Linked DNA regions of Drosophila melanogaster. The protein of the gene in region 1 interacts with the protein of each later gene in a pairwise test. Each region holds a gene or a part of one and is shown in the gene's direction. Other genes may lie near its edges.

Region 1 (6,196 bases):
CCCTTTCGCCTGATTAATCTGGGTTAGTATCAGAATCGAATTATTCCACAGGACAGAGACAGACACACAATAATTTAGTCTAGATACTTGTATTTGGAGGCATATATCGTGCGATTAAGATGTCCTGTCTACTTGATCCGCTGCAGCTGCGTGTCGAAGGCATCGTGGGCCGCTTTAGTTTTCCTTTTGTTTTTTTGTTTTCTCCTTTTTGTTTGGTTTTTTTTTCACTTTCAGTTTAGTTCCAAGTTCGGTTTTGTTCCGTTTATAAATATTGTTTATGCATTGTGTGTTGTTTCTGTGTTATCATTACAGTAATTATTTGTAATAAAGACGACGGCATTCTAGGAATTGTTTATGCACAAAAGCAAATAGTTATTAGTTCCATGCTCCAATGCTAGCTTTAGTTTCATGTTTTTCTTTACTTTCATTTCGTGTTAAGCTATTTCAATGTTTATTAAGTGTTCTTTCTCCATCTCCCTCTCTCTGGCGCGGCTATCATCATCTTTTTCTGTCCCAGTTAAGCAGGATGAGTGCTGCTTGAGTTCGTGGTTGATTGATTGATTCTCCTTTTGATTTGATTAGATCCCCGGAAAGCAGAGTGTCACTTAGTACCTGCTGTTGTTAAACTGCGAATTGATGGCCGTATTAACGGCCGAGGAGGCTGCTTCCTGGACGTGCTGGTTGCGCAGAAACTCGGTGGTGAACTCCGCCTGGGCCTTGGCCATACTGGCCCCTGTGCTGCGGTAGATCGAGTGAATCTTTGTGATCATCAGCACATTGGCCACGGCCACCGCTGTGAAACAGAATGCCACGTTCAACAGCAGAATGCCGACGATAATACCCGACGCTTGCCCATCGAACTGCCCGATGGCCGTAATAAAGCCACAGTAGCCCATCTTGTTGAAGCCCACCGCCTGCACAATCGAGTACAGCGTTTGAAAGAAGTAGATGAAGAAGAAGACCATGAAGTTGAAGCTCGAATCGTTGCGGAATGCCTTGTACGCCGGTCGGAACCTGAAAATTAATCACACATCATCACATTATTCATGTTTTAAGAATCTTCCAGGTATAAACTCACCAGCAGACATAGGAGGCGGGCGAGAAGAGCATCGTGTAGAAGATGGCCAGGAAGAAGGTCTCGAATTCGCCAGCGTGGAACAGCAAAATTAGACCGCCTATCACGTTGGCCAACAACGTCATGGTGTAAACTGTCGGAGAAAGTATTCAAAATAGACACATACAATCAGCATAATGCTATAATCTGTAGGGGAAAGCATTATTATATACTATATACTATGCATGCAGTAAATAATGCTAGAAATGCATTTAAAAACTATCTTAATACTGATAACATGTAAATCAAACAAATTTCATGCTCCCCTCTTTGCAAGCATATTCTGCACAAAGGCACGCACACATCCAAGACCATTAGCCATTCAGCTATATCTGATTAATAATGGCATCGGCCTGTAGACGACACGCGATGACTAATTCCACAACCTATGGCACCGCTTATCAGCGAAAACATGTAGAAAACACAGCCATAAAGAACCAATACTCACAAATCCAAATGTAATACAATCGCTTGACCAGTTTCTGGAACTCGGGCGGTATCTCCACCTCGAAGTCCTGGTAGAAGCACGGCTTTACACAAAAGTTATCCGGCAGCGGTGGCCAGTTGTTCAGCTGCGGCACATTGCCCTGTAGCTGCTGCTCGCGGCGGTCCAGTTCGGCGGCCTTGCGGTCCAACTCCTCCTGCCGGCGCTGGATACAATGAAAATCATATGATTATCGACTGTTTTATATATACATTTTGTATGACTTAATAAATTGGCCGTATATGGTAAATACTTTAAATCTTATTCATTTACATATTTGGGAAAACAAAGGCGAAATTCAATGATAGGAATTCACATCCAAATCTTGAGTTTGTTAAACTTCTATCTTAACCTCAGGCATTTGGCCTATCTATAGGAAATATTCTGTACAAGAATAAAGTGCAAACTTAAGCCTCCAAATCATATGTATTTAGATCTACTAACTAGTATTTCTTGAATTATTGTGTAGGGCCGAAGAAGCCAAGTAAATCAAGAGAAACCGCAGTTTGCACAGTGAAGACTCGGCGCGGCAGCCGCTTCTAGTCTCAACCAGATAAATGCTCCAAAGCGGATATATCGTTGGCAGATCGAGATAAGCCCGCTTATCTTTCTGACTCTTGATGGAGAGTAAAATGTGATATGCCTGCCCTAATCCCGGCACTCTAGCAAAGTGATTACTGTACAGACTTTTAGGGCAAACTTTTAGTGTAACTGTGTGGTGTGGTCCATTTCGATTGTTTCCGAGTATTTGGATGTACATATGCGGTTTTTGGAGTATTGCGGATGTGGCCATGCCGGCACAGCACACCGCAGAGTGCTCACTGTTGTGTGGGCGGTAACGCGAGACGACCGGCCAAGTGGGTTACCTGCAGCTCCTCCGAGGTGATCTGTATGCTGGTGCTAGGCGCCGAGGCGCCCAGGGAACTGGTCTGCGGGGGCGGAATGTTCTGCGATAGCGGCTGGACCACCGCCGCCGTGTTCGTTGAGTTGATCTGCAGCTGCGGCTTGGCCTGCTCCTCGAATGGATTGTAATCCTCAAGAGAGACAAGGGCGGCGCCGCTCTGGAGTCGTCGTGCCTGCTGGATGGCGGGGTCCTGCGGGGGAAAACCGGGAAATCCCAATCAGAAACCAATTCATTCAACATATGTGACGAATGCACCCAACACACACACACACTACACTCACAGGCACGCACACCAACACCCCACCTTTGCGTACGTGTGCGTGTGTGTGCGATGGGTTTTTTCTTCGGCTTCCGCGCTCTCTCTCCTAGCTCTTCTATCGCCTCACCGCAAACGGATTGTCCAGATTGGGCTCCCCGAAGGGATTCTCGTCGAGACCGGAGCCGGACATGGGAATTCTACTTTGGATACGGCTGTTCAATGACCAGAAAAACGCACTGACTCGCACTTTGCTTTTCGCTGTGTATATTTTCCCTAAGACTCTGCTCAGTTATCGATGTCGGTTTTAGTGATGGTTCAGCATCGATAAGCTTTCGTTGGGAATCAAAGTGTAGGCCTCAAATATCGAAAGAATTACTTTAAAGAATTAATGTTATTTGAATTACATATTAAATTCATTTTGGCAGAAAAACTTATTATTTAACACATTTAACATTAATCTAGAATTCTGAAAAATGTGAATAACTGGTATACAATGGTCTGATTTTTTAGGACCTATTAATACATTTTATTAAAATGATAGCAAAAAGAAAAGATTCTATATACAATTGGATGTAAACCAGCAGTTATCATATGAATTTTAAATTTAAATGGCAACAATCGTGCCAATCGGAACTGCTCCAGCTGAACCAGCTGCGTGGAACCAGTTCCCATCCCTGGGGCCGCCATTCCGCAATTGGAATTCTAGTGTCTTGGGTTGCGATTCGATTCATTTACCGCTGCCCGCGTCTCCAATTCGGTTGTGTGCGATTCTGTCTGCTCCGCATCCAAGTCAAACATCCAATCCTTGCAAGAATGTCGAAGCCCAGCTACAAAGTCGGTGAGTTGCGTTATAAATAAACCCAAACGGATGGCAAACTCTCGAATCGAATCTCCGGCCGGCAACAGGCGACATGTGCGGGTGAATTGCATCTATTCATGAGCACATGTTTCTGAGGTTAAAAGAGAGACAAAACAGAGGAGAGCACGTTGTTGCTGGGGCAAAAAACGTAGAAATTCAGACCGTATGGTGTATAAATCAACAGTGCCTGCTTATCTGACCCTATCTCCCTTTTATATCCCACTCGACAGCCGATATCAGTCTGGCGGAATGGGGACGCAAGGCGATCATTATTGCGGAGAACGAGATGCCCGGTCTGATGGCCTGCAGGAAGAAGTACGGCCCATCTAAGCCCCTCAAGGGCGCCCGCATCACCGGCTGCCTGCACATGACCGTCCAGACCGCCGTGCTCATCGAGACCCTCGTCGAACTGGGCGCTCAGGTGGGTTCAGTGCCTCTTTGGCGCTCTAAATGATTTTATGCATCGTACCACCATTCGAATTGTATGCCCAACTGTAGGTCTGAACAGTCGGGATAATACACAAAGATAGCATCATTTCAATACTAAAAACCATTTCAAAAACCATAAAACCGACCAAAATTCCGTAAGGAAATTGTAAATTAGGTAGAAAGATAGGTATCTCCAAGCATTGTCCAAGGGCTGGTCCCTTATCACCTTTGGTTTACGCACCAATTTGAATAACAAAACTTTCGTTTAACAGCAGGGGGGCAAGTTCAAGGCGCCCAAGATAAGACCTCCAGATTGTTATTTCCTCTGACGCAGCACCATCTGCTTCAATCCTCGCACATGGCAACTATTTTCTGCCAAATGCTGATGTCCTGAAATACATAGATTTCCTGATATAGATCAATCCTATATGCAATGCAAATCAGTTTGCAAATATCTATATAATTTAGGTTCCTTCCCATCCACATCTCAACTTCAACGCATGAACTACATTTTCATTCTTTTATCCAGGTCCAATGGTCCAGCTGCAACATCTTCAGCACCCAGGATAATGCTGCCGCGGCCATCGCTGCCACCGGCGTGCCCGTGTACGCCTGGAAGGGTGAGACCGATGAGGAGTACATGTGGTGCATCGAGCAGACCTTGGTCTTCCCCGACGGCCAGCCCCTGAACATGATCCTGGACGATGGCGGCGATCTGACCAACCTGGTGCACGAAAAGTTCCCCCAGTATCTGAAAAACATCAAGGGCCTCAGCGAGGAGACGACCACCGGTGTCCACAACCTGTACAAGATGTTCAAGGAGGGTCGTCTTGGCGTACCGGCCATCAATGTCAACGATTCGGTGACCAAGAGCAAGTTTGACAATCTGTATGGCTGCCGCGAGTCGCTGATCGATGGCATCAAGCGGGCCACGGACGTCATGATCGCTGGAAAGGTCTGCTGCGTGGCCGGATACGGTGATGTGGGCAAGGGCTGTGCCCAGGCACTGAAAGGATTCGGTGGTCGGGTGATCGTCACCGAGGTCGATCCCATCAACGCCCTGCAGGCGGCGATGGAGGGCTATGAGGTTACCACCATGGAGGAGGCCAGCAAGGAGGCTTCCATCTTTGTGACCACCACCGGCTGCCGGGACATCATCACCAGCGTGCACTTGCAACAAATGCCCGACGATGCCATCGTGTGCAACATCGGCCACTTCGACATCGAGATCGACGTGGACTGGCTAAACGCCAATGCCAAAGAAAAGGTGAACGTGAAGCCCCAAGTAGATCGGTACACAATGCAGAGTGGCAAGCACATCATCCTGCTGGCCGAGGGTCGTCTGGTGAACCTGGGCTGTGCCCACGGCCATCCCAGCTTCGTGATGTCCAACTCCTTCACCAACCAGGTGCTCGCCCAGATCGAGCTGTGGACCAAGTCCGACAAGTACGCCGTCGGCGTGCATGTCCTGCCCAAGATCCTCGACGAAGAGGTGGCCAGTCTTCATCTGGAGAAGCTGGGCGTAAAGCTGACCAAACTGACGGAGAAGCAGGCCACCTACTTGGGCGTCTCGCAGACCGGTCCCTTCAAGCCCGACCATTACCGGTACTGAGCACCCGATTCGCCAACCGGTTCCACACCCGAATCCATAACCGAATCGGGACGCGGCGCCGGAGACGACGGACCCACACTAGTTATCTATTGTCTGCGCATTTCACTGTTCACCTAAGCAGCTCCAATAAAAACCCATCTCACGTACTCTCAGCGAGAGAAAACCCCACATAGCTCCAATGTTTTTTCTTTCCCCTCTAAATGGCGGAGCATATTGGTTTAGAATATTAGTTTTTGTACGGCATTAAGTTTATGGGTTTTATACAATTTATTAAGCTTACATATATTCATATTCATACATATATTCATAATACTAATAATGTTTTCGAAATCGTGAAAATGCTTTGTCATTATTTGTAAAGACGCTCAAAAACATCTCCTTTTATTTTGAAGCACGTGTTGACTATCAAAAACATACGATGTGTGAAAGCAATCTGATTGTTGAATTACAACTTGAAAAAAACAGTGACTCAACAAATTAGGATTTCTTTAAATAAATAAGATCAAGGGCAAAACGAAACATCTGGAAGAAAGTC
Region 2 (6,196 bases), 4.3 Mb from region 1:
TTCGCTGGCTGGGCCTTGTTCTCCTTGCTGACCTCAAGCTCCTGCTCCTGCTCCTGCTCTTGCTTCGGCTTTACTTCGGTTTCGTCTTCGCTGTCGGACGAGTCGTAGGAGAACGGATTGAGAGTGGCCAGTCCGAGCTTATTGGCAGACGTCTTGCCCACCAGGATCTTCTCATGGCCCAGCTTCTCCAACTGGTCCTGGCGCTTGGCCACCTCCTTCTCCGGTGCACTGCCGAACATGTCCAGCAGGCTGAAACCCTCTCCACGCGTGTTCAGCGAATCCCTCAACGTGTCGGTGACAATGTAAAAGGCCGTCTTCGAGACGGCTGAAGCTTGACTGTTGCCCGCGTCGGCGGTCTTGGCTTTCGTACTGGAAGTCTCCTCCTTCTTCTCCTCCTCCTCCTTGGGCTGCTTTTGGCGCATTAGCTTCTGATGGCCCTCCTTGGCCGGATCGAAGCGCAGCATCTTTTTGTTCTTTGGCGACTTACCGTCCTTATCGTTCGCACTGGTGATCGCGTGTCCCACAACCTGCTCCAGAATGTTCATGTGCCATTTGCGCTCACTCTCCTCCGGCTCAGGCTGATCCTCCAGCTCCGCCTCTTCCTCCTCGTTCACAAAGTTCGATGTGATGCGGAAGCGGGGATCTATACTCTGTTTGCTCTGCATCTCCACCAGACGCTCGCCCTTCTTGCCCTTATGCTGCGGCAGGACGATCTGCTCCTCTTCCTCATCGTCGTCGTTCTCGAACAGATCCCGCTTTTGTATCTTGGCTTTCTGGACGGGCTTGGACGCCTCCTCCTCCTCGGCGTCGCTGAATTTTATTCTCTTTGCCTGACTGCCTTCGACTGATATCACAGATAGCGCCTGCTGGATGGCTGACTTCTTTTGTTGGTGTCCCTGACGCATCTTGTTGAGCGACTCCTTGCGCTTCTGTTCCGCCTGGCTGACATTGGCGTCCGGCTTCTGTTTGGCTGCCTTGCGGTGCTGTTCGATGACATGGAGTGGCTTCACGTCGTGCTCCTGCTGGATGACAATCTGTGGGAAAGGAAAGGAAAGGAATTTAGCTGACAATGAGCTTGGGAACAATGAGTGCGTGCATACCCGGCCATTGTGCATGGAATTGGCGGCGCGCTTCTTGGTAATCAGCAGCTCTGGAGCGACCTCATCATCACCAATCTCCTCATCCTCTCCGAATACCCTGCGCTTGTTTTGGCCACTTTGCACCAGGAGCTGAGAGCTCGGCGCACGCACCTCGGACTCGTCTGGCTCGCCCTGTTCCCGGCGCTGGTTCTCTTCGCGTTCGCGCTTCAGTCGATCCAAAAACGATTCTTTGGCAAGAGAAACTCTTAGCTTTTCGCCGTGCAACTTCTGCCATTTGAGCTCGTTGACGCCTACAAAACCAAGCTATGGTTACTCCTTCCGTCTGGCTGTGATCTTCCGCGGATAACTTACAGTACTGGGCATCATCCGTCTGCACGGTGACGAAGGCAATCACCTTAGTGGCCCCATCCTGCTCCTTGCGCTTCAGATCCACGTGCTCTACGTGACCGTAGTCCTGGAACAGGATCTGCAGGTCCGACTCCGAGGTCCTGGTCGGCAGATCCGCCAGGAAGAACCGAGTGCTGCCCATATTATGTTTACGCTTGCAATGCACGTGTAGAATCCAAATCCCGGCAAGAATTGCTGTGGGCCAGTGTGACCGCGGGCAGATAAAAACTTACACTTAAATATAGCCACAATTCCAATTCCCAATTGCTTTATACAGGTTTTTAACAAGTCCAAGCAACACTAAACCAGCTTTCAAATTTATTTAGCAACTTTGTAAATAGGCAAATACATTAAGTTAGACAAAAATAATCCCCATCGGTCAGTGTTGCAAGGCGAGCAATACAATTACTTTAGGTGCGCAGCTGGCTGGTCACACTGGCAGCAGACGTCACAATAAATTCTATTATTTTGTTTTGTTTTGTGCGAAAAGTTTGCAGGCCAGCAATCGTGGACTAGCCCACAAACAACGGCAGCATGGCGAGCGGGACAAGCGGCACAAGCAGCAGTGAAACGGCCCAGTCGACGGACATGGCACCATCATCGGCCGAGAAGTGGGGCTTCCCTTTGATTGAGCTCTACCGCCTGGCATTCACGTTCTACAAGCGTAAGAGCAGAGATCCCGGCACTAGCGCACCAATAACGGCTAATCTCACATATTGCAGGGAACTCCGGCAAGGCCATCCACTTGTCGTACGAGGACAACCTCAAGCTGATCGCCTTCAAGCAGCAGGCGGCGCTGGGCCCCTTCAACACGAGTCGCGCCCCGGCGCTGGGCGTCCTGGACGTGATCGGACGCGACCGGCAGCAGCACTGGCAGCTGCTCGGTGAGATAACGCGCGAGCAGGCGATGGAGGGGTTCGTCGACCTGCTGGACACAATGTGCAGCGCCTTTCGGCCGTACATTGAGGCCGTGCGGCAGGACCGCGACGAGACGCTGCGCAAGGAGCTGCGCCTCATGGAGGAGAAGAAGGAGGCACGCGAGCGGCAGGAGAACGCCCAGCAGGAGCTGCTCGAGGAGGGTTACAAGGAGGAGCTGCAGCGCCGCCAGCTGCAGGACGCACTCAACAAGCAGACTTACCAGCAGTTTAAGGTAGCCCATCGATTTTTTCAACAACACACCGGCCCGGCCCTCTGCACCTGTTGTTGTGCTAAATAATGCATGATAATTACTGGGTGCTCGGCCTTGGCTGCGCTGTCTGCCATTGAAAAGGGGTCATGACCCAGTTCTCAGGCAATTGCATGCCAGCTCCTGTACCATTAACTTGGCCCTTCTAACGCTTACACTCGTTCCACAGCTGTACGCTGAGAAGCAGTTCCCCGGAAACCCCGAACAGCAGGCCGTGCTTATCCACCAGCTGCAGCGGGAGCACTATCACCAGTACATGCAACAGCTTCATCTGCAGAACCAGAACCAGAATCAGAATCAGAACACGGAGGACAAGGGACACCAGGAAGCAGAACACGTCCCTGGCAATAACAACAACAGCTCAACCGACTTGCCCAACGCCATGGAGGGACTGAAGCTCGGTGAGGTCGAGACACAGCAGCACCAGCAGCTGGCCGAGCAGCAAGACGGGCATGTAGAGCAGACGTTGGAGGGCGTTGGGCAGGAACAGCACGGCGAGGAAGAGTACGACGACTACGTTATGATCTGCCCGGCCAAGATCTGGACTCGTCCCGACATCGAGCAGTTTAAGACTGAGGTGTCCGCCGGCGATGGGGACGGCGTCATCACCATTGGACACGGCGACACGGTGACGGTAGGTGGCAATCAACTAATGACGAAACAAGGCCCATATTGACCGGCACAATTTTGCAGGTCCGTGTGCCCACCAACATGAACGGCAAGTGCATCTTCTGGGAGTTCGCCACGGACAGCTACGACATCGGCTTCGGCATCTACTTCGAGTGGGCCAAGCCCGTGACCAACGAGGTGACCGTGCATGTGAGCGACTCCGACGAGGACGAGGATTGCGTGGACGAGGACTACCTATCCACCACCGAGGACCTGGAGTCCGGCTCGCTGTCGCAGGAGCGCGGCGCAGTTAACAACCCGACTGCTGCCCCCAAGGCACCCATTTCCATTATCGTACCGATCTATCGACGGGAGTGCTACAACGAGGTCTACGTGGGCTCCCACTCCTATCCGGGCGAGGGCGTCTATTTGCTGAAGTTCGACAACAGCTACAGCATCTGGCGCAATAAGACGCTGTACTACCGCGTCTACTACGAGCGTTAAGAGGCCAAAATGTATTTACTTACCACTAACTTAGATGAATCCTATCTCCGTACGAACGGCTAATGTGCAAGTCCGGAATAATCTGTATGTGCGTGTGCGTGAGGTTTTGGTTTTACGTGTGCGTTGCTGCAATTCCGGGAAACAAGCGGCGGGAAAAGACCATGCCGATTTCAGACTAAACCAATATTATTTATTATTTAGTTGTAACCGACGAAGACAAGTCCAAAATTCAATTTGAAACTAATAAACAATATAAAGACAACTGTAAATAATCACTTTTCGAAATCTCTTTGCTTCTTAATGAAGAATAAATTATTCGTAAAATTCACTTAGGAAACTTCTTCATACGACACAATTGCTATTACCAATTTTGGGCATTGAAACAACTATTATTATTATTTTATATTAAATAAAAATTGCATTAAAGTATAGTTAAGAATTTGGCTCGTGTAAGGGGCCCTAACACTAACGGTCCCACGATTTGCTGGTTGTGGTTTCTATCGGTGCCTGGTCACACTGGCCATTATGCATGCACTTCGTAATTTTGCCGGCAATGGAATAGCAAATGTATTTGGCTGTGGGATCAGGCGCCGGCTCAGCTATGTCCTGGGCATCGAGACCTCCTGCGACGACACGGGCATCGCCATCGTGGACACCACGGGCCGAGTGATTGCCAATGTGCTGGAGTCGCAACAGGAGTTCCACACCCGGTGAGTGCTCACATCTCCGCATGCGGTGCCCAATGATGAACTGAATCGATTGCAGCTATGGAGGCATTATTCCGCCCAGGGCCCAGGACCTTCACCGCGCCCGCATCGAGTCCGCCTACCAGCGCTGCATGGAGGCGGCGCAATTGAAGCCGGACCAACTGACGGCCATCGCGGTGACCACGCGTCCCGGACTGCCGCTGAGTTTGCTGGTGGGCGTGCGCTTTGCACGGCACCTGGCCCGTCGCCTGCAGAAGCCCCTGCTGCCCGTTCACCACATGGAGGCGCACGCGCTGCAGGCCCGCATGGAACATCCGGAGCAGATCGGCTACCCCTTCCTCTGCTTGCTGGCCAGCGGCGGCCACTGTCAGTTGGTGGTGGCTAACGGCCCCGGTCGCCTTACGCTTCTTGGCCAAACACTGGATGATGCGCCCGGCGAGGCCTTTGACAAGATCGGTCGGCGACTACGCCTGCACATTCTGCCGGAGTACCGCTTGTGGAACGGAGGACGGGCCATTGAGCATGCCGCCCAGCTGGCCAGCGATCCGCTGGCCTACGAGTTTCCGCTGCCACTTGCCCAGCAGCGGAACTGCAACTTCAGCTTCGCCGGCATCAAGAACAACTCCTTCCGGGCCATCCGAGCGCGCGAGCGGGCAGAGCGGACACCTCCGGACGGAGTCATCAGCAACTACGGCGACTTCTGCGCCGGCCTGCTGCGCTCTGTCAGCCGGCACCTGATGCACCGCACGCAGCGGGCAATTGAGTACTGCCTCCTGCCGCACAGGCAGCTCTTCGGTGACACCCCGCCCACACTGGTCATGTCCGGCGGTGTGGCCAACAACGATGCCATATACGCCAACATCGAACATCTGGCCGCGCAGTATGGCTGCAGGAGCTTCCGTCCATCGAAGCGGTACTGCTCCGACAACGGCGTCATGATCGCCTGGCACGGCGTTGAGCAACTGCTGCAGGATAAAGAGGCCAGCACGCGCTACGACTACGACAGCATTGATATCCAGGGCAGCGCGGGATTCGCCGAGTCGCACGAGGAAGCTGTCGCTGCGGCGGCCATAAAATGCAAGTGGATACAGCCACTGGTTTGATCACTAGCCCCTGTTGTGTTTTATACATTCTTACATAAAGTTACAGATGAATCCTTGTTCGTTGTTGAATCCTGTTTGTCTGATTTACAAATTAATAATATATTCATAATATTTTTGAGTGTGTGAGTTCTTTGGCGCTGCAGAGTTCCTACTTGCTAAGAGCCACCTTGCTAGCTCTGGTGGCTTCCGAGATCTCGACGTTTATGCTGACGAACAATAGGACATGGCCAGATAATCAAAATATAGTTTATAGTAATGGAAAAGCTTTGCCTCCACCTGTTGGCCACTTTTCCAGGAACGTAATAACTGATATGACGACAGGTCTTTATCACGCGAATCGATATAGAAATAAACAACCACAAATGAATCACAAATGCTATATAAAAATCACAATTGCATTGAATTTATGTAATTTTATACATATAAAAAGTACATTTTCGCTTGTGCATCTTTGGTGGGATGTTCCCTTTTTTTTTTTCATTTCAGGCAAGACAGTGAGTGGTTTCGTTTTGGATTTCGTTTTATTATAAGATATTATCTGAAATCAATAATGTTAAATCACTAAGGTCTAGAAAAAAAATGTAAAAATTGATAATGTGT
Region 3 (5,595 bases), on another chromosome or scaffold:
CGGCGGAAGTGACATGTCCGGCAAAAAAAGACTTAAGCGGCGAACTTGTCATATATTTTTAACTTCTACCATAAAAAAGCTATATTTATATCTACAACAGCAAGTGACTCGGTCGGCGAATATCGTATAAAAAAACATTTGCAATTGTGGCCTGGACAATGAGGTAATTTAAATGACTGTGTGTTTATTTTTGGCCAAAACTGTTTGAAGACAATACCTTTATATATATATGAACATGACAATCTACATTTTGTGTTTGTCATGGTCTGTCTGCGTATGCCAAAGAACTATATTTAGATAATTATAATTGAATTTGTAACATAGTGTCTTAATAGTGAATTAAAGCTCAAGGACATCACGTTTTACTTTGACATAATTTATATTTACTTAGGTGTATATGTTTTTAAATATTATATTTAATTATAAATAATAATTTTTCAAGTATGTTTTTTAGCAAATTCTTTTCTATATAAACTTCTGTTTATTATTCTGTTGCGATGTGAAGAATACAAATTTCAATCTTATCTATCTCATTTACATGTTGAGTTTTACAAAACGGGCTTCATGAACAATTAAAAATCCCTAAAAAGTTCAGCCAATATATTAAATACTTTATTATCAATAAAATATAAGAGGATTTTCGTTAATGGTATGCAATATATTGCAATGTATCTAATGTTGTGCAATTCTATTGTTTTAAGTTAATCTGGGCTTAAACTTTGACTGTCAGACGGTTGAATTGCTTTGTTATAAAATTCACACAAAGTTGCGTGCTTCACATGATTATTGCTATCACGAAGTCAATTTTGTATGTTCGAATTTTCTATTTAACTGATAATATCACAAATTGAACGACTTGCTATCGTCAGAGTATACTAAAGTGTCGCATTAACAATTTGTACTTTTTAAAATTGTTTGAAACAACGCTTGAAATTATAAATTTTTTATAGAAATTTAGAGATTACCTTTTAATTTTAAATGGCCGTATCAAATTAATATTAAAAACGACAAAGCCAATCTCCGCAATTTTTGCAGTATCCAAAGAAATTGTATTTTTAAAATAAGATTTTAGAATAAATGTATTAATATTCTATTTTGCTTTAACATTTATTTTGTTTAAATGCACTAAGTTTGCACTTCCCAAGAATTGTTTCTGTTGTTCTTATTTCTTAATTTTAATATAGGGTTTGATTTTTCACATATGTATAATGACACTCACGTATTTCTCGAACCGGCTTGAACTCAACTGGTGGCAATTCTATTTCCGCTGCCAAACATAAGCCGGCCATCAGAATTAGAGCAACTACGCCAAAGATACGACCCATTTCGATAGATTGTTTAATATTTAATTTGATACGTTTAGATTGAATGATGTTTTTTTTAATTGACTTCCTCGTTAGGTGAAGTTATTCCACATCCGTTGGATAGCCCAACCTGACCGATGCAAATGCGAATCAACGTCTGAGAGCTGCGATGGGTGGCGGGCTCTTATTTATGGGAAGAAAACAAAACAAATCCAATCAAATCGAAATTGCAAAGACAAACGTAAAATAAAAAAAATAAAAAAAGGCACAAACACAGATGCTCGGCATTAGCAAATAATAGGGATTTGTGGGCGGAGCGGTGGGCGGTGGGTGGTGGGTGGATAACAAAAATAGCTTGAAACTAATCGCCGTCGCAGCTGTAGAAAACAAAGCAAATGCAAAAGTCAATAGACAGTAGACAGTAGACAGTAGCGAAATACAAACGACATTATTAAATTCCCCCGTAAAGTCGTGAAGTGGAAGCCACCCAGCCATCCGATTTGACTTATCGCGACCCCAGTGCGACCCGACATACTCATCACATAACCGCCTACCAACTACCGGCAGCTGTCCCAAGTGATCCGACTCGCTTTGGATGCTTCCTCGACTTGGTGATGGAGATGGTGCTGGAGATCTTGGTCCCAGGCGGCTAATTAAAACGTACCACCTTATTAAATGTCTCGGGGACTTGGGCTTAAGATCACTGTTTCAATTTTTAGAGCTTGAAACTATTCTTCCTGTACTTCCATGCTAATGCTAATGCATTTAACTGAGGCTTTATTTAACTTACTGCAATTTTGTGGCCTAGTAAAATATACATCTGTGTATACCCTCAAAATGAAAAGGCAGAACCTTTTACTGCCTATTTCTGTTTCTACTAGTAAGTAGTAATGAAAGTATAAATCAAACAATTGGTGTCAAGCGTGGCCGTGCTAACAGCTCTAATGCTAATTCTGCTTTTTGCACCTTACGGCAATTTTTAAAGTGCTTGATTAGTGATTATTTAGTCACGTGTGTCTAGTAGGCAACGTACGTCGATTTTGTCAAAGCTTAAAAGGTTGGAAATGAGTCATACGCGTACAACAAATCTTTATACTAATTCGGAAAACCTCAGTTCTTAACAAACAAATAAGTAGGTTATTTTACGCAGGCCAATTTTCGAATACTTTTTTTTTTAGGATCGTTTTAAGATGCGCTGAGTTTACAACGATTTATCAAGTGACCTGGCACAAAAGAGATAAACGCACGTTATCAGCAGACGCAGACTGTCTACAGGAATGTGCCCTTTTGCAACCCCAAATAGACGTCATCTTATCGTCATCTTCGGCATTAAACTGCAAACCCAGAAATGGCACTCCGAGTTCCAAGAAGTGATATCTAAAAAAAGGGAAACAAACGGAAAACAAAAGATCAGTGCCACACACACCTTATCAACAGCAGGATACAAAGGGAGTTGGACAAATGAGGCCGCAAAACACTTTTCGAATAGAGGCCAATTGAACAAGAGTAGCCCAAAATCCATATATGTATATATATATATGACTTTTACAAAAGGCGGCGACATTGAAAAACACAGCAGATAATAGATTTGAAAGAGGAACAAACACGAATTGAATGAACCCAGACAATCGATGGGCGCGCATTTCGCCACCTACTGATCCGGAAAAACTCGGATTGTATTGTATCTGAAATTCAAAAGATCCCAGCTGAACGCACGCAAGAATAAACATGACCAGTAGATAGGGATGCCCAACGGGTGGGCTTACAAGTAGGTAAGTGGGATGGGTTGGGTTTTGGGTTTGGGTTTGGGTATGGGATTGGGTGGCATGTACGCGTGCGCAGGCAAATCGAGCGGGTTTATGATCTTGTTTTCGTTTTGCAAAAAGAAAATTCGTCGTCGATTTGTGTAAACAAAGTTATAAAAGTTGTGGGGGGATTACGAAGAGCGGCAGATAAGGCTTTCGCCATATAAGCTAGTGTACCAATCCACAGGACAGCATTCAATCGAGAGTCTTCGAGTAGAACACACATAGCATAACCATAGCATATCATACCATACAATGGAGCACCATCAGATCTATCGCCACAAAAAGTTCGACATGGGTCGAAAGATTGAGAAATGCGATTTGCAGCTGAAGGAAGAGCTAATCTCCCGGAGCGGCACACCCTGCACCAGTCGGAGTCCTTTCGATGCGGCAAATCAGTCCGTCAGCTTGGGTTTCAGTGATCAGGATGCTGACTTTCCTCCACTGCCAAAGCGTCGTCGTTTGGGATCCTCATCCTCAAGCGTTTCCTACCAATCCGCCAGCCCCATCATAACCGAGGCCATCCAAGACATCTTCAAGTACCACGTCAATATGGTGCGAAAATTCCCGAAGAAGGAGCGTTCACCGAAGGATCAGGAGCGCCGCAACAAGAACACAATTGCCTGCAGGATGAGTCGACGGAAGAAGAAGTTCGATGACCTGCAGATCGAACAGCAGTACAAGGAGTGCTCCGATGAGCACCTCAAGATCGCCGAACAGAGTCTGCGTGCCAGGGTCTATTTGAATCATCTGAAGCAGCTGGTCAAGCAGGAAGACCACCCGCTAGTATCCTCAAGGAGAGTTCCGGAGGAGAATACCAAGAGTAACTTTAGCATCGACTACCTGATAGGTGGTATTAAACAGGAGCATGCTTAGATACGTCCATCTCCTTTTAGGATTGTATTATATAGTTATTATATTAATGCTAAGTTGTTAAGTTTCTTCAAGAACTTTTAGTGCTAAGAAATTTAGTATATATTTAGTATAAATGCCTTAAAAGGTTAAGCAGGAACTTCTTAATAAATAAAATATGAGGATTTAATTTTTACGGCTAATTGATTTTTTATCGTGTGCTTGACTTTTAATCTTCCTTCTAAAAATGGTATAAATATTAATTTATGACATTGGCAGAAAAAGTAATCAAGCGCTAATGAAGCAATGAATATATTAAAAATATATATAAATAAATTTAATAAAATATAATAAAGCGTGGAGCCATCGAAATAAATCCCAATTAATCCCCAGGGGTAGTTCGCGTGGTGTCACAGGCAATCATCAGCCCCTGGAGCAAATCGTTATTGGTGACCCCATCGACTATTGCCTCCCCCCATGGAGAATATCAAGCCAGTCGGATAAAGTTCACTGGGTATTAACCCTGCACCCTGGTCAAACCACTGGCAATAGAGCCGTAAACCGATTGAAACCGCAGCTACGGGAATGTGGGCTTAAATAATAACTACTCCTATTCCCGTCCATCGCTCAGCTGTCATTGTCGCACTTAAAGTTAAACTAAACACTTTAGCTATTAGTAGCTACGATATTTTCAAATACATTGTAATCGAATTGGTCACGCTAAAGGCTTTCATTTGCATAACCCCTAATCCCTGTGGAAAATTTCAACGTATTAATAGGAATGGCAAGTGCTATAGTGTTTCCATTATTTTAATCCGATTAGGTTCCATAAGATGAATATATATGCTATACATGCTATTAAAACTAATTCAGAATTCAATTTCCTTGCTAACCGTTTCTTGTTTTTTTCTTTGACAAAAACGAAGCAGCCATACAACATAATAACTATAAACTTTAATAACATTATTAACGAAACAATAAATTTAGTATACTCTGTCAGGGTTTCTAATCACAGATTAGATCAATGTGCGTCACTGCCGCCGGTGGATGCAGTGGTTTCCATGTCAGATGTATCATTGGGTGGAACTCCACTGCTACTCGGTCCGTGGTCCGTCATGTCATCATCGCTCATTCCCTCCTCGGATAGAGGATCGTGGTCCGCCTCCAGAGGTGGATCCATAGCCTTGACCAATTTCACATACTTCTGGTTCTCGGCTTCCGTAAACATTTTAAACGGCACATCCTTGCCCACAATGGCCACATTTATGGTGAGATTCTCGACATCATCGGAACCCAACGATCCTCGAATGGCCTGAATGGCATGACATATCAGTTCATCCATGTCGCAGTCCTCGAAACTCTCCATATTTCGCTCCAGATATGTGCGAGCACTCTGCGAACGAGATCCAATGGCCATTGCCTTGCAGTTGAGCACATTGGCCGTGGGCATCACCTGGTAGATATGTGGTCCCTGCTCATCGTATCCAGCCACCAGCAAGCCCACACCGTAGGGACGACGATCATAGCGCTGGGTGGTGGTCTGCAGCTTGTTACCCAGATTGGAAACCAAACGGCGAACCGGAAATTCTGCGTTATAGGAGTGCCGATATGCCATGCACTCCGTCCTCATGTAC

Evidence for each region.
Region 2: the proteins of Ahcy (region 1) and Tcs4 interact in a two-hybrid assay, tested with the Drosophila melanogaster proteins (one large-scale study listed by BioGRID).
Region 3: the proteins of Ahcy (region 1) and Mabi interact in a two-hybrid assay, tested with the Drosophila melanogaster proteins (one large-scale study listed by BioGRID).

The regions. Positions count from the first base shown.
Region 1 is NC_004354.4:15,446,817-15,453,012, forward strand, and holds the start of Ahcy (adenosylhomocysteinase), read left to right. Parts: upstream 1-3,444; 5' UTR 3,445-3,574; coding exon 3,575-3,599; intron 3,600-3,850; coding exon 3,851-4,041; intron 4,042-4,578; coding exon 4,579-5,661; 3' UTR 5,662-6,196. Other genes in the region: scamp, read right to left, coding at 606-1,014, 1,079-1,208, 1,563-1,764, 2,465-2,692, 2,889-2,951. UniProt on the Drosophila melanogaster protein: Adenosylhomocysteine is a competitive inhibitor of S-adenosyl-L-methionine-dependent methyl transferase reactions; therefore adenosylhomocysteinase may play a key role in the control of methylations via regulation of the intracellular concentration of adenosylhomocysteine.
Region 2 is NC_004354.4:19,699,844-19,706,039, reverse strand, and holds the start of Tcs4 (Threonyl-carbamoyl synthesis 4), read left to right. Parts: upstream 1-4,284; 5' UTR 4,285-4,311; coding exon 4,312-4,496; intron 4,497-4,551; coding exon 4,552-5,596; 3' UTR 5,597-6,196. Other genes in the region: CG14230 (uncharacterized protein), read right to left, coding at 1-1,034, 1,101-1,390, 1,452-1,629; CG14232 (uncharacterized protein), read left to right, coding at 2,022-2,151, 2,210-2,637, 2,843-3,307, 3,367-3,786. UniProt on the Drosophila melanogaster protein: Required for the formation of a threonylcarbamoyl group on adenosine at position 37 (t(6)A37) in mitochondrial tRNAs that read codons beginning with adenine.
Region 3 is NT_033779.5:13,232,365-13,237,959, reverse strand, and holds Mabi (mabiki), read left to right. Parts: upstream 1-3,299; 5' UTR 3,300-3,364; coding exon 3,365-3,985; 3' UTR 3,986-4,162; downstream 4,163-5,595. Other genes in the region: Jhbp14 (juvenile hormone binding protein 14), read right to left, coding at 1,220-1,325; Prosalpha6T (proteasome alpha6 subunit, Testis-specific), read right to left, coding at 4,983-5,595. UniProt on the Drosophila melanogaster protein: Plays a role in inducing apoptosis and is involved in the repair of head patterning defects in the embryo caused by extra maternal copies of the homeotic gene bicoid.